Linked DNA regions of Saccharomyces cerevisiae S288C. The protein of the gene in region 1 interacts with the protein of each later gene in a biochemical or structural test. Each region holds a gene or a part of one and is shown in the gene's direction. Other genes may lie near its edges.

The links. Proteins that work in one complex are often made in the same cells at the same time.
Region 2: the proteins of NET1 (region 1) and CDC14 form a complex in vitro, tested with the Saccharomyces cerevisiae proteins (6 studies listed by BioGRID, with this or other methods).
Region 3: of the proteins of NET1 (region 1) and DBF2, one has a biochemical effect on the other in vitro, tested with the Saccharomyces cerevisiae proteins (2 studies listed by BioGRID).

Annotation. Positions count from the first base shown.
Region 1 is NC_001142.9:293,283-299,660, forward strand, and holds NET1 (Net1p), read left to right. Parts: upstream 1-1,962; coding exon 1,963-5,532; downstream 5,533-6,378. Other genes in the region: PRY3 (Pry3p), read right to left, coding at 1-699; YJL077W-B (uncharacterized protein), read left to right, coding at 765-863; ICS3 (Ics3p), read right to left, coding at 1,384-1,779; YJL077W-A (uncharacterized protein), read left to right, coding at 1,517-1,603; APQ13 (Apq13p), read right to left, coding at 5,178-5,594; cohesin subunit SMC3, read right to left, coding at 5,875-6,378. UniProt on the Saccharomyces cerevisiae protein: Has a role in chromosome maintenance and is involved in mitotic exit. Inhibits the action of CDC14 by sequestering it in the nucleolus. Also binds to RNA polymerase I and stimulates rRNA synthesis.
Region 2 is NC_001138.5:207,913-211,816, reverse strand, and holds CDC14 (phosphoprotein phosphatase CDC14), read left to right. Parts: upstream 1-1,748; coding exon 1,749-3,404; downstream 3,405-3,904. Other genes in the region: PTR3 (Ptr3p), read right to left, coding at 1-880; ECO1 (Eco1p), read right to left, coding at 3,520-3,904. UniProt on the Saccharomyces cerevisiae protein: Protein phosphatase which antagonizes mitotic cyclin-dependent kinase CDC28, the inactivation of which is essential for exit from mitosis. To access its substrates, is released from nucleolar sequestration during mitosis.
Region 3 is NC_001139.9:666,320-670,407, forward strand, and holds DBF2 (serine/threonine-protein kinase DBF2), read left to right. Parts: upstream 1-1,869; coding exon 1,870-3,588; downstream 3,589-4,088. Other genes in the region: U4/U6-U5 snRNP complex subunit PRP31, read left to right, coding at 22-1,506; DRN1 (Drn1p), read left to right, coding at 4,069-4,088. UniProt on the Saccharomyces cerevisiae protein: Ser/Thr-protein kinase involved in the mitotic exit network (MEN) and required after the metaphase to anaphase cell cycle transition. Phosphorylates CHS2 to regulate its dynamics and chitin synthesis at the division site during cytokinesis.

The DNA of each region.
Region 1 (6,378 bases):
ACTAGTAATTACGGTAGAAGAGGACGCAGTGAGGGTAGCGGTCTTGGCAGGGTTTATGGTCGTCGATTTTAAAGAACTGCTGCTAGCCGCAGACGATACCGTTGTTGTATACCCTTGCGCTACAGCGGGCATAATACTGGATGAGATGGTGGAGACTGTGTCTGATGTAGTTGAGGTAGAAGAGGACGAGGATGAGGACGAGGAAACAGTGCTTATAAGTGGTTCCACTTCCTCTGCAAACTCACCCAGGTAGTTTCCAGGAGGGTTGTAGGAGCACACAATATAATTGTTCCATGTCGTACCACAATATTTATAACCACATCCAATCTCGGCGGTTGACTTCCAAACCACCTGTGTGAAGTGACCCGTGGATTCAGAAAATCCGGGATTTGAATAATTATACTTGCTTATCTCCCCGTACCAGGCGTCCACCGCTCCCGTGTCTGTGTAACCAAGGGCAAGGTTCTCACCATATGGGCCATCGGAATGCGTTAAGACACCCGAACAATCATATTGGTCGGCGTAGTTCTGCGCATAGGTGGCCAGAGTGTCGGACCAGGTGAGCGGCGCTGTGTCAACATGTAGCGCTCTGAACTTGTTATGCTCGTTCAGCACATCGCTCTCGAAGTTTGGAAACGTGGTTTGTGCCTTGACGGCTACTAGGCATCCTAGCAGAACTGATATTGGAAACTCCAGCATAAGCGTTTTCGTTTTAAGTTGTTTTAAGTTGTTTGGAGTTGCAGGGGTGCAGCAATTATAATTTTATGCCGATATTGGTTTGGCAACTACCGAAAAGCAAGAAGCTAAAAACTTTGAAGTATAGAATATGTTTTAGAGAATTCTTCGACCGAGTTGAAACATGAGAACTGTTTCATCGGCCCTATATAGCAATTACATCCTTCCGTTGCTGGGTCCCTGCCTAGATACCATATTTGTTGTTGAATTAACCGCGGGAACCCGCAATATACGAAAGACGAACACAAGAGAGCAAGCACACACAGCTAGTGCGTAGCGTTGCTAGCTATATTGCCATGGTACCTACCTTTCACCTCCTTGTTAAATCCATAAGTGGACGGTTTTCCTAAACCAGTATTTATCAGTTCTCGAGCACGCAGAGAAAAGTAAACGAAGCGACCTGCATTGCGGTAACTATAAACACCCAGCCGCCTCCAGCAGAACCAGCCATGTGCGAAGAAAAACAATTTTTCGGCCAAACTTACCAACAATAGCGACGCGTTCCTCACATCGTTGGGTTTTTTTCGCCTCTCTTCAAGTTTCCTATACCCGAGCTTAACACAACACAACGGACCCTCTTAATTAGAGGTATCCTCCGTTCTTTTCTTCCGCTTTCCTAATCGAGATACCAGAGCACGGAACAGGACCCTAGTGCATCGGAGAGGAGATCCGTGGCACGCTCACTGCGCCTTTCACTATCACCGATTTCGTAATTCGAACAGGAGTATTTCGCTGCAGGGGAATTACTGTTTGTAGACGAGGGAAAGCAATTATCAGATACATGCCAGGGATAGCGTTCAAGGGGAAAGACATGGTTAAGGCAATACAGTTTTTAGAAATAGTCGTTCCTTGCCACTGTACGACCTGAACTTTACTCAACGAAAAAAAAATTGGAAAAAAAATAGTGCATAACGTTGCTATTAACAGATGTAGTACTGATATGTCCCTGATTGGTGAAGAGTCAGAATGATATAAGCCTATTTGATATGTACGTGTACGTATTCGAAAATAAGATTTGTTTCTCGTAGGGAGCGATATGTGCATTATGTTACCCGTTCCACATGTTTTGAACTTTTTTTCTTTTTCATGGTAAGCGTCAATAATCAATTTGAATAACTAGTGAAGAGTAGCTAGCACGATGAAATAAGTGCCGGAGCTGATCGAATCCCTAGTCTCGGTTCGCCTGAAACAGAGAGAAGTCGATTACTGTACACCGTGCCTCCTTCTATGTACAAGCTACAAGTGGTCTTGGTGCCTCCGAGTCTTCAGGCGACGATGCCAATACAGTTTGGCTACGGACCAACCATCGCCGAATCTTCTCAATTGTTGCCAAACAGAACTAATATGGCGCAAAGCGCCGGAGATGCCTCTTTGCAGTATGCTAATCTGAGATCTGCCAATGTGAGTTTCACGCCAAGCTATTTCAACCAGTCTAGGTTTAGGAAGTTTCTTTTGTTTACCAAGCCGACAAACACGCTGTTGAACTTGAGTGATGAAATCATCGATAAGTGTGAAAAAATGTACCCGAGTTTGCAAGAAGACATTGAAATTTTGAGTTTGCAAGATAACAGCGGTTGTGACCTTGATCCGGATTTTTTGGTAAAGGACGTTTTCAATGTAAATAATATCGTAAGAGTTATATTGAAGAATGAGATAGATCTGGACGATTCCGCACCAGTGTCACTTTATAAGTCGGTAAAACGATCCAAGTTGAACAACGGGTCGCCCCAGTCGGTGCAGCCGCAACAACAAATCCCGTCCTCTTCAGGTGTTCTTCGGATTGCCAAGAAGAGGCCACCTACAGGAACCACGACAACAACAACCATTCGTAGTGCCACTAATGGATCCATGAGGGTTTCTACCCCATTGGCTAGGCAAATTTATCCTCCACCTTCTTCGAAGATCGTCTCCAACAACTCAGATGACGAAGACGAAGACATTGGTGAAAGATCCTTTTTGCCGCCTCCAACGCAGCCTCAGTCACCTCCCATAAGAATTAGTTCGGGCATTGACGCAGGTAAAAAAATAAAATCAAGCATCGTCGAGGAAGATATCGTGTCCAGATCAGCAACCGTGGATCCAGATAAAACAAAGCAGCAACGTCTATTGTCCGGAACTCCTATAATGTCCACCATGACTCCAAACAGAGTTACTCTTACCGGTCAGAGAGTGGTTTCTGAACACGCACATAAAAACGAATTGGTTTTCTCTGCTTCAGCTTCTTCCTCTTCATTTGCTAATGGTGGCACAGCTGCTGTCACTGCTCAGGACATTAATAGGAAACCACCCGTAACCACTCCAAGAATAACATCAGGAATGTTGAAAATCCCCGAGCCAAGAATCTCAGAGATTGAAAAAGAGTTAAAAGAGGGACCTTCCAGTCCGGCCTCCATTTTACCCGCTAAAGCTGCAAAGATTCCAATGAAAAAACCTTACTTGGAAAATGGCGAGAACTACGAATCCGACGATAGCTCAAGTAGCGAAAACCAAGAAACTCCTGAAACAGAACCACATTCAAAGGCTTCCTTGCAACGTAGTCAAAGCTCCATCGCAGATAATAATGGCTCTCCGGTGAAAAATAGTCCTCTCGGTGATGCCATGCCACACAATGTGCATTTAGCAGAACTTCCCAAGGCAAGCAATACCTCGATCACCAAATCTTCAAATGGCGAATCCTGGGGAAAGCAACAAGAACATCAACCACCAAGAAAGAGTTCACTGGAAACTATAGTGGAAAAGAAATCTCAGGCGGAACCTTCCGGTATTGTGGAACCGAAAAGAATGACTAATTTCCTAGATGATAATCAGGTAAGAGAAAAAGAAGATACGAATGATAAACTTTTAGAAAAGGAAATTTTGCCGACAATTCCACATAATGATCAGCCAATACTTGCATCATCTGATAAGTCTAATGGGACGTTGAAATCACTAGCTGGGAAAGTTAGTTCAAACAACAACGCTTCAAAGGAAGATGGCACTATCATTAACGGCACCATTGAGGACGATGGCAATGATAATGATGAAGTTGATACTACGGTTCGTATTGTTCCTCAAGATTCAGATTCCTCTAGTTTCCCAAAGTCAGATCTTTTCAAAATGATCGAAGGTGATGATACAGATCTACCGCAATGGTTTAAGGGCAAAAATTCGAGAACTTCCGGTAATTCCAAAAATTCAAAGCCTTACACAACGGTTTTGAATAAAGACATAGACAATTCTAAGCCAGATCCAAGAAATATTTTGCCCCAGCGAACCCCAAGAAGTGCGGCTAAGAGGGCTGCCCAATTATTGGCAGGTGCCAAGAAAAACGAAGTCCCACAGAAAAGTACTGAAGATTCTAGTTCGGCAGCGTCCACAGACGATGAGTCAGAGAGTGGGATTGAAACAGATTTCTCATCAGACGATGATTTTAAAAGGAAAAATATGTCGGTGCCTAATAATGGGCCCAAAGACATTTCTTTACATTCTTTGAAAGGCAGTGTTGTTCCAGTGAAAGACTCAAAGATAATCAATAAAGAAGTTGATGAAGAAAGAAACGACAAAAGAGATAGTCAAAAAAAGTCAGCCGTGAGTGAATCTTCAGTAACAAATAGCAAAATAAGTGAACAAATGGCGAAAAGCTTTTATCCGAATTCAAACAAGAAGCAAAATGAAGCTACAAAGGTGGAAACTAAGCCAGCAACACAAGCATCGTCTTTTCCTGTTGTTGGTGGGTCTCCTTCTGTTGCTACTAAAGGAACTACCTCTTTCAATGAAGAAGGAAATCGTAAAAATGTTAAAACGAAGGCCAAGAATGAGTCTGCGCAGATTGATAGGCAGCAGAAGGAAACAACTTCTAGGGTTGCAGATTTGAAAAGCGCAAACATAGGAGGTGAAGACTTGAACAAGAAAGCAGAGGGGTCCAAGGAACCAGAAAAAGCATCTGCCAATATACAGGATGCTAACGATAAAAATAACTCGAAGGAAAAAGAAGACTCCAAAAGCAAACAGGTATCTCAGAAAAAGTTAAAAATGACAGATCACTTAAAAGAAGGCAATGTTCAGCTTCCTAAGCCCAGTGCAAATGATAAATTGAAGGATTTGAAGGCTAAATTTACTAATAGTAAAACACTCGTGCCACCTGGAATAATTTCTAATGAAAAAAATAATTCTAGTGCAAACGATGATGATTCTAGCTCCTCAGGTTCTTCCACAGAAGACGAGTCTAGTTCATCTTCCTCGTCTTCTGATGAGGAAACTTCAACATCCAGGAAGGCTAGAAGAGTTGTTGTAAATACACCAAGAGAACCAGTTAGATCTTCATCTAAGATTGAAGCCCCCTCTCCATCTGTTAACAAAAAAATCAATGCCACCCCTGATAAAATTCCAGTTACACAGCTAATGGACATGTCGTCTCCTCCGTCAGTTAAATCCAAGACCACCTCAAATCCGTCTAGTATACTTCATGACCTTCCAAGAAAAGTTCGTCCTTCTTTGAGTTCATTATCTGATCTTGTTTCAAGAGGCATCCCAGATGTAAAGGAAAAAACTTCTAAATCGAATGAGAAGTCACAAACAAAAGCCCCTTCAAGTAGTGATGATGAATCTAGCTCTGATTCTGACTCTAACTCCAGTTCGGACTCCGTATCGGATTCCAGTTCAGATTCTAAATCTGAGTCAGATTCTGATGACTCAGGGGATTCATCTGATGATGGAAAAAGTTTTATTAGTGCGAAATCCGCTAGTGCTGCTTTAGGTAAGAAGAAGAAGCCAAGTGGTGGATTTGCATCATTAATAAAAGATTTCAAGAAAAAATGATACCAGAAAGTCTCAGTAGAATACACGTCACAGAAAGCTAGTAAAAAAAAATAATCAAGCATATAAAAGTATTAATATATTAAAAAATCTTCATGTAAACCAATTCTTATTTACCTCTTTTCCCAGCAAGCGGGCAACTTCTTTAAGAAAAGTAATCTTTTTTGTACGTCGAATTATCAAAGCTTGGTTACTATATTTAACATTATTGTTTAGTAACAGTATCATCTTAAAAGAAAATTTTTTAAAATTCCAATATAGGAGACAATGGTAATAATTACATACAAATAGCTATTTATGTAAGCAAAACTGATATTTTTATATACAAATCGTTTCAAATATCTCTTAGACTTCAGCGAATTTATTGCTACCTCTAATGAATCCGATTGCTTCTTCTCTATTGACCTCAATAACCGTGGAAATCTTATTCTCGTACTTAACACGGAAAAATTTGTCTGCAACTTGCAACATATCTGTTCTGAACGTCGTACAAATAAACTGGGCATTTTTTGACAGTTCTTTTAGAAGTGTAGCGACTGCAGTTCTATACTGCTTGTCGAGTGCAGCATCAATTTCATCAAACAGATAGAAGGAAGCAGGGTCAACCATTTGGATTGCCAGAATCAAAGCAATGGCACATACAGTCTTCTGACCACCTGAGAGCTGTTCAACATGCAGTTGTTCGTTTTGTTTAGAATTGAAGGAAACAGAAATTGAAACACCTGTATACATAATTTCACTATCTTTACCGTTTTGGCTTTCATTGGATTCTGCATCCATGTCAACATCAATACTTTCATCATGGTCGTTAGCGTTATCATTCTTACGGTGAATAATCAACTTAGCAGT
Region 2 (3,904 bases), on another chromosome or scaffold:
ATTTCGTCCCTAGGAATTTGGGGTGTGTGTTGAACTGAAATTTTTTTCTGTACATGGGGAAACAGTTGGCAAAAAAGTACTCCTTTTCTTCGTCCAGATCATGTGCACTATTTGTTTGGTAGTTTGCTGTGGAAGGTATTGTAACGTCCGTAGACATCAAAGAGAAGTTGTTATCTATCGGCACAGTTCTTGTGTTCGAGGCATTATCCAGGATTTTCCAGTTCGCGTGGTCGTCATAGTTGGGCTCGAGTAAGCTGCTTGAGTAATTCTCCTTAGTGGTGTGTTCTTCTTGATCACGGGTGGTGCCAGTCGTGAGTGGGTGGTCCGACCCTACCTCTGTATTCGCATTATGCATCTTCGAAGCCACAATATGGAAGAGTTCGAGCAGTGATGATTTCTCCTTAACTGTAGGGTCTGATAGTGTCTTGTTATCAGCTTCTAGCCCAGCAGTGGAGGAAGAGCGCGATGGCGTTAGCGATAGTGATGATGATGATGGTGAAGTCTTTACTATAGCGGGGAGCTCATCGCTTTCGCTTTCGCCCTGTCCGGTAGTACTTCTGAAGAAGTCAATCTGACGAGCCAAATCTCGCAGCGGCTTGATGGCTGAAAGTAGTCGAACATTTTCTCGCTGACAGATGGGACACGCAGTTTGCTTGTTCGAAGTTTCCCTGCATAAATCATTGAATAGCGATTCAGATATACAGCAGCCACACGTAAGCACAGAGCAGTCTTTGACTATACCGTATTGCACATGTGATTCGTCAGTACCAGTTGCACCATCGAGTGATAGCCGTTGCGGTAGATAGAGGTCGTGTTCTATATCGTCGAGCACCCTCGCTATATCCGTCTGGCGGCCCCACTTTTGTCTATGAGAGTGCATGAACGCCTATCAGTTGTGTATTTCGTACCTATGTATGTGTGAGTGTGCGTGTGCTAAATTTTACGGGTATCTTTTCAGTGCTGATAAGGTAATCATTGATGACTACTGTAATGGTAATGTTAATAAGACGAATAACTCCTCCGCTTGAAAAAGGTGTGAAAATCAAAAGTGCGCCTCATGAAATAATGATAAAGGAATCTTTATATAGCAAAGTAATCAACAAAAACGACTCTCGGTAGCCAAGTTGGTTTAAGGCGCAAGACTGTAATTTACCACTACGAAATCTTGAGATCGGGCGTTCGACTCGCCCCCGGGAGATATTTTTTTCTGAAATTTTTTTGGCTTTATTTTTTCATTAATACACCTGTGTTAGTTATGATTGCCACTAGCTTATATACGTGACTTCTGTGACTTCTGTGACTACTGATGTGTTTTTAGTAGAATACAACTGTTTTTTTCTGTAATGCGTTTTCACATATTGGCACCAGAAAGTGTCGTTACTTTATAAAGCAAGCGACTAGAACAACAATCACACACACACACACACACACACACACACACACACACACACACACACACACACACACACACAAGCTATGAGCCTGATAACGTGAGTCATTCGTTTTTTAGCCGATAGTAGAGATATGCATTTGAAGGCCATTGCTATTGTGTCAATCAAGAAAGCTGTATCACTTTCAACGGGGAATGTACTTTTAGCACCATAAGTTTTTCTTCACTTGGTTCAAAGGTAAACAAATTGAAATTGAAACAATAATGTACCAAATATTTCCGATTCGTTCGAGGTATAATACGAAACAATTGCACAGAGGCTGGGACTACAAAGTACGCTTATAAAAAAAAAAAAAAAATGCGTAGGAGTGTATACCTCGACAACACGATCGAGTTCCTGCGAGGCAGAGTATATCTCGGTGCATATGATTACACGCCGGAAGATACTGATGAGCTGGTGTTTTTTACCGTGGAGGACGCAATCTTTTACAACAGTTTCCATTTGGATTTCGGTCCCATGAACATTGGACATCTATATCGTTTTGCCGTTATTTTCCATGAAATCTTGAATGACCCAGAAAATGCCAATAAAGCCGTTGTTTTCTATTCATCTGCATCGACCAGACAACGTGCTAACGCCGCATGTATGCTTTGCTGTTATATGATCCTCGTTCAGGCATGGACTCCGCATCAAGTGCTTCAGCCGTTGGCGCAAGTAGACCCTCCCTTCATGCCATTTAGAGATGCCGGTTATTCTAATGCGGATTTCGAAATCACAATTCAAGATGTGGTTTATGGCGTTTGGAGGGCTAAGGAAAAAGGCCTTATTGATTTGCATTCCTTCAATTTGGAGAGTTACGAGAAATACGAACACGTGGAGTTTGGAGACTTCAATGTACTCACCCCAGATTTTATTGCATTTGCGTCACCACAAGAGGACCATCCAAAGGGCTATCTCGCTACCAAATCTTCACATTTGAACCAGCCGTTTAAGTCAGTTCTGAATTTTTTCGCCAACAATAACGTCCAATTAGTGGTAAGGTTGAATTCTCATTTATATAATAAAAAGCATTTTGAAGACATTGGCATTCAACATTTGGATCTAATTTTCGAAGATGGTACATGTCCTGATCTTTCCATTGTAAAAAACTTTGTTGGTGCTGCTGAAACGATAATTAAAAGGGGAGGTAAAATTGCTGTGCACTGTAAGGCTGGGCTAGGTAGAACTGGTTGTTTAATTGGTGCTCACTTAATATACACGTATGGATTTACCGCTAACGAGTGTATTGGCTTCTTAAGGTTTATAAGGCCGGGAATGGTCGTTGGCCCTCAACAGCATTGGTTATATTTACACCAGAATGATTTTAGAGAATGGAAGTACACAACCAGAATTTCTTTGAAGCCTAGTGAGGCCATTGGCGGCTTATATCCCTTAATAAGTTTAGAAGAATACCGCTTACAAAAAAAGAAACTTAAAGACGACAAGAGGGTTGCGCAAAATAACATTGAAGGTGAATTAAGAGATTTAACCATGACGCCGCCATCCAACGGTCATGGGGCGCTTAGTGCCAGAAATTCGAGCCAACCTTCTACGGCGAATAATGGAAGTAATTCATTCAAGAGCTCAGCCGTCCCACAGACTTCGCCTGGTCAGCCGAGAAAGGGCCAAAACGGTTCTAATACTATAGAAGATATCAACAATAATCGTAATCCAACTTCCCATGCGAATAGGAAGGTAGTAATAGAAAGCAACAACTCAGATGACGAATCCATGCAGGATACCAACGGCACAAGTAATCATTATCCCAAAGTTTCGCGCAAGAAAAATGATATCTCCTCTGCTTCATCGTCCCGAATGGAAGATAACGAACCCAGCGCAACGAACATCAATAATGCCGCAGATGATACCATACTAAGACAACTATTGCCCAAGAATAGGAGAGTAACGTCAGGGAGAAGGACTACAAGCGCCGCCGGTGGTATAAGAAAAATAAGTGGCTCCATCAAGAAATAATTTATTTCATTTTTATATATATATATATCATATAATAAAAAAACTTACTAATAATAACCTTGAAAAGTTTTATGCCATTTTTCCAGTGTCCCTTCTCGCTGTCTTTTCGAAAGAGTCATATGTATACCGGCAATAGTAACTTGCCTGATTTATGCATAATGCCGTTGTATTTGCTAGCCAGTTTTCCACCGCTGTCTGTGGGTTGCGACCATGCTACCTGGTACCTAGGAATAACTTCACCGTAAACAATATTTTCTCTTGCAACGTCAATCAATTTGGTTGCGATACCCAACTTCCTTGCTGTCCTGCACACCCAAATTCTCGATATGCCAATCTTAAAATCGGGGTACACATTCTGTACCAATCTTCTAGAATCATAAACCATCCAACGTCCACGACTAGATGTTTTACCATTGCCCCCATAAAGGTTCTCTATAATTATTATTCCGACCGCCCTGTCATTTCTTATGTATACAAACGCTTTGCCTTTTTCTTCTGTG
Region 3 (4,088 bases), on another chromosome or scaffold:
CAGAAAATATACAAAGACCTTATGAGCTCTGAAGAGGACTATTTCGATGAGCTCGAATATGACCTTGCCGATGAAGTTAATGAGGAAAAAGAAGACATACAAACTAAAAAGCTCACTACGGTAAATTGTCAAACAGAAAAATTCAATCCATTCGAAATTCTTCCGGAAAGTATAGAATTATTCAGGACGTTGGCACTCATCAGTCCTGATAGGTTATCTCTATCAGAGACAGCACAGATTTTACCAAAAATTGTCGATTTAAAAAGAATCCTTCAACAACAAGAAATAGATTTCATTAAACTGTTACCGTTTTTTAACGAAATCATCCCCCTCATCAAGAGCAATATAAAATTAATGCACAATTTTCTAATCTCACTGTACAGTAGACGTTTTCCAGAACTATCTTCATTGATACCATCACCATTACAATACTCAAAAGTGATAAGCATACTGGAAAATGAAAATTATTCAAAAAACGAAAGTGATGAACTATTTTTCCACTTGGAAAATAAAGCAAAATTGACCAGAGAGCAGATCCTCGTTTTAACAATGTCCATGAAGACGTCTTTCAAAAACAAAGAGCCATTGGACATCAAAACGAGGACGCAAATTTTAGAAGCAAATAGCATATTGGAAAATTTATGGAAACTACAAGAAGATATAGGTCAATACATAGCCTCAAAGATATCAATAATTGCCCCTAACGTGTGTTTCTTGGTAGGCCCGGAGATAGCAGCCCAATTAATAGCACATGCTGGAGGGGTTTTGGAGTTCAGTCGCATTCCCAGTTGCAACATTGCGTCCATTGGGAAGAATAAGCACCTCTCACATGAGTTACATACATTAGAGAGTGGAGTACGACAAGAAGGATATCTATTTGCTTCTGACATGATTCAGAAATTTCCCGTTTCTGTCCATAAACAAATGCTTAGGATGCTTTGTGCAAAAGTATCACTAGCCGCAAGAGTTGATGCTGGCCAGAAAAACGGTGATAGAAATACAGTTTTAGCTCATAAATGGAAAGCCGAACTATCGAAGAAAGCTAGAAAGCTATCAGAAGCCCCGAGCATTTCTGAAACGAAGGCTCTACCTATTCCGGAGGACCAACCCAAAAAGAAAAGAGCTGGGAGAAAATTTAGGAAGTACAAGGAAAAATTCAGACTATCGCATGTCAGACAATTACAAAATAGGATGGAATTTGGCAAGCAAGAACAAACTGTTCTTGATTCCTATGGTGAAGAAGTTGGTTTGGGTATGTCTAATACTTCTTTACAACAAGCAGTAGGAGCTACATCAGGTTCCAGAAGATCTGCTGGTAATCAAGCCAAGCTAACAAAGGTAATGAAGCACAGGATTTCTGAGGCTAATCAGCAAGCTGACGAATTCCTAATCTCCTTGGGTCATAATACAGAGCAACCGAATCTGTCGCCAGAGATGGTTCAAATGCACAAGAAACAGCATACTAACCCAGAAGAAGAGACCAATTGGTTTTCCGGTCATGGTTAGGGCTCTTCTACATACTTGATAATATTTAAAAAGATATTATATAGTAGTGACCGGCGAGAGCGTTTTCGCTCATAAATTTCGTAAAAAGCCAAACACCACACGCTGCAACCCAGATGCCCTTTTTAGGAAATGTAATTATTCAAAAAGTAAACAATGACATGTTTCATTCCTCAATCTAAATCATTCGAAGCTACCTTGATGTTGAAGCCCTCCGCTTGTTGTTTATTTAAAAATAAATACAAGGAGGCAATTCGTCCAAGTAAATTATTGTAAGATAGAAACCTTGCTAAAGATAGAAACTAATATACCAGAAAAATTCAAGCAACATCTACAGTATTCCTTGCTAAAGAAAAATTCTTTAATATGCTATCAAAATCAGAAAAAAATGTCGACCTCTTGGCAGGCAATATGAGCAATTTGAGTTTCGATGGGCATGGGACTCCTGGGGGCACTGGACTATTTCCTAACCAAAATATAACAAAGAGGAGGACAAGGCCTGCGGGTATCAATGATTCACCTTCGCCGGTAAAACCATCCTTTTTTCCTTACGAAGATACTTCCAACATGGACATAGACGAAGTATCTCAACCTGATATGGATGTCTCGAACTCTCCCAAGAAGCTTCCACCAAAGTTTTACGAAAGAGCAACTTCAAATAAAACACAGAGAGTTGTTAGTGTTTGCAAAATGTACTTTCTAGAACATTACTGTGATATGTTTGACTATGTAATTAGTAGAAGACAACGCACGAAGCAAGTTCTAGAATACCTGCAACAGCAAAGCCAACTTCCGAATTCTGACCAGATTAAACTCAACGAAGAGTGGTCCTCTTACTTACAAAGGGAACATCAGGTTTTGAGAAAAAGAAGGTTGAAACCAAAAAATAGGGATTTTGAAATGATCACACAAGTAGGTCAAGGTGGTTATGGGCAAGTTTATTTAGCCAGAAAGAAAGACACAAAAGAGGTGTGTGCTTTGAAAATTTTGAACAAAAAACTATTGTTTAAGCTCAACGAGACAAAACACGTTTTAACTGAAAGAGATATCCTAACCACGACAAGGTCTGAATGGTTAGTAAAACTTCTGTATGCATTCCAAGACCTACAAAGTTTATACCTGGCTATGGAATTTGTACCAGGCGGTGATTTTCGTACATTATTAATAAATACTAGATGCTTGAAAAGTGGCCATGCGAGATTTTACATCAGTGAAATGTTTTGCGCTGTTAATGCGTTACATGATTTAGGCTATACACATAGAGATTTAAAGCCGGAAAACTTCTTAATCGATGCCAAGGGACATATAAAATTAACAGATTTTGGTTTGGCTGCTGGTACGATTTCTAATGAAAGAATTGAAAGTATGAAGATAAGGTTAGAAAAAATCAAGGACCTGGAATTTCCAGCGTTTACAGAGAAATCTATAGAAGATAGAAGAAAAATGTACAACCAGTTGAGGGAGAAGGAAATTAATTATGCGAACTCCATGGTTGGGTCTCCGGATTATATGGCTTTGGAGGTTTTAGAAGGAAAGAAATATGACTTTACTGTGGATTACTGGTCGTTGGGTTGTATGCTGTTCGAAAGTTTAGTTGGTTATACACCATTTAGTGGATCATCGACTAATGAGACCTATGACAACTTAAGGCGCTGGAAACAAACTTTAAGAAGACCGAGACAATCTGATGGGAGGGCAGCATTCTCCGATAGAACTTGGGATTTAATAACAAGATTGATTGCCGATCCAATCAATCGATTAAGATCCTTCGAACATGTTAAACGCATGTCTTATTTTGCAGATATAAACTTTAGTACTTTGAGGTCAATGATCCCGCCTTTTACACCCCAACTAGACAGCGAAACTGATGCCGGTTATTTTGATGACTTCACCAGTGAGGCTGACATGGCCAAATATGCTGATGTTTTCAAAAGACAAGACAAATTAACGGCTATGGTAGATGACTCGGCAGTATCATCAAAACTTGTTGGGTTCACTTTCCGACATAGAAATGGTAAACAGGGTTCCAGTGGCATCTTATTCAACGGACTGGAACACTCAGACCCCTTTTCAACCTTTTACTAGCGTAAAAATGAATTCTTGTCTTGCATTCGCCGCGATATAATTAGCTTTAACGAGCTTCATGCAAACTTTTCAACTAGCACCTATGAACGCTTTTTTCATAAATATACATATATATATATATAGTTGTGCATTACTTAGGACTTCAAGCCCATTGTTTAAAATCTCAGTTCACGGTAACGGTCCATCCCATGACCGTTTTGAACTAAACTTAAGCATTCATGTTGGGAGCGGCGAAACTTGGTAATGTTTTACAGGAAAACAGCAATGACCACTATTAATCGAAAATCTGCAAAAAATGAAAAGGAATGGGTGTTAACATCAATTGTTTTTTCAATGATAATTACAAATTGGACTGATACTACATTGCTAGATGTACAAAAAACGCAAGGTAGCTCTCTTAGAAGGATCCATAATATATAAAAAAGGGCTTATGGTTTACTGATATCTTTTTCACTTCAAAAACTTACATATAAAAATAGGATGACAAATGCAAAGATTTT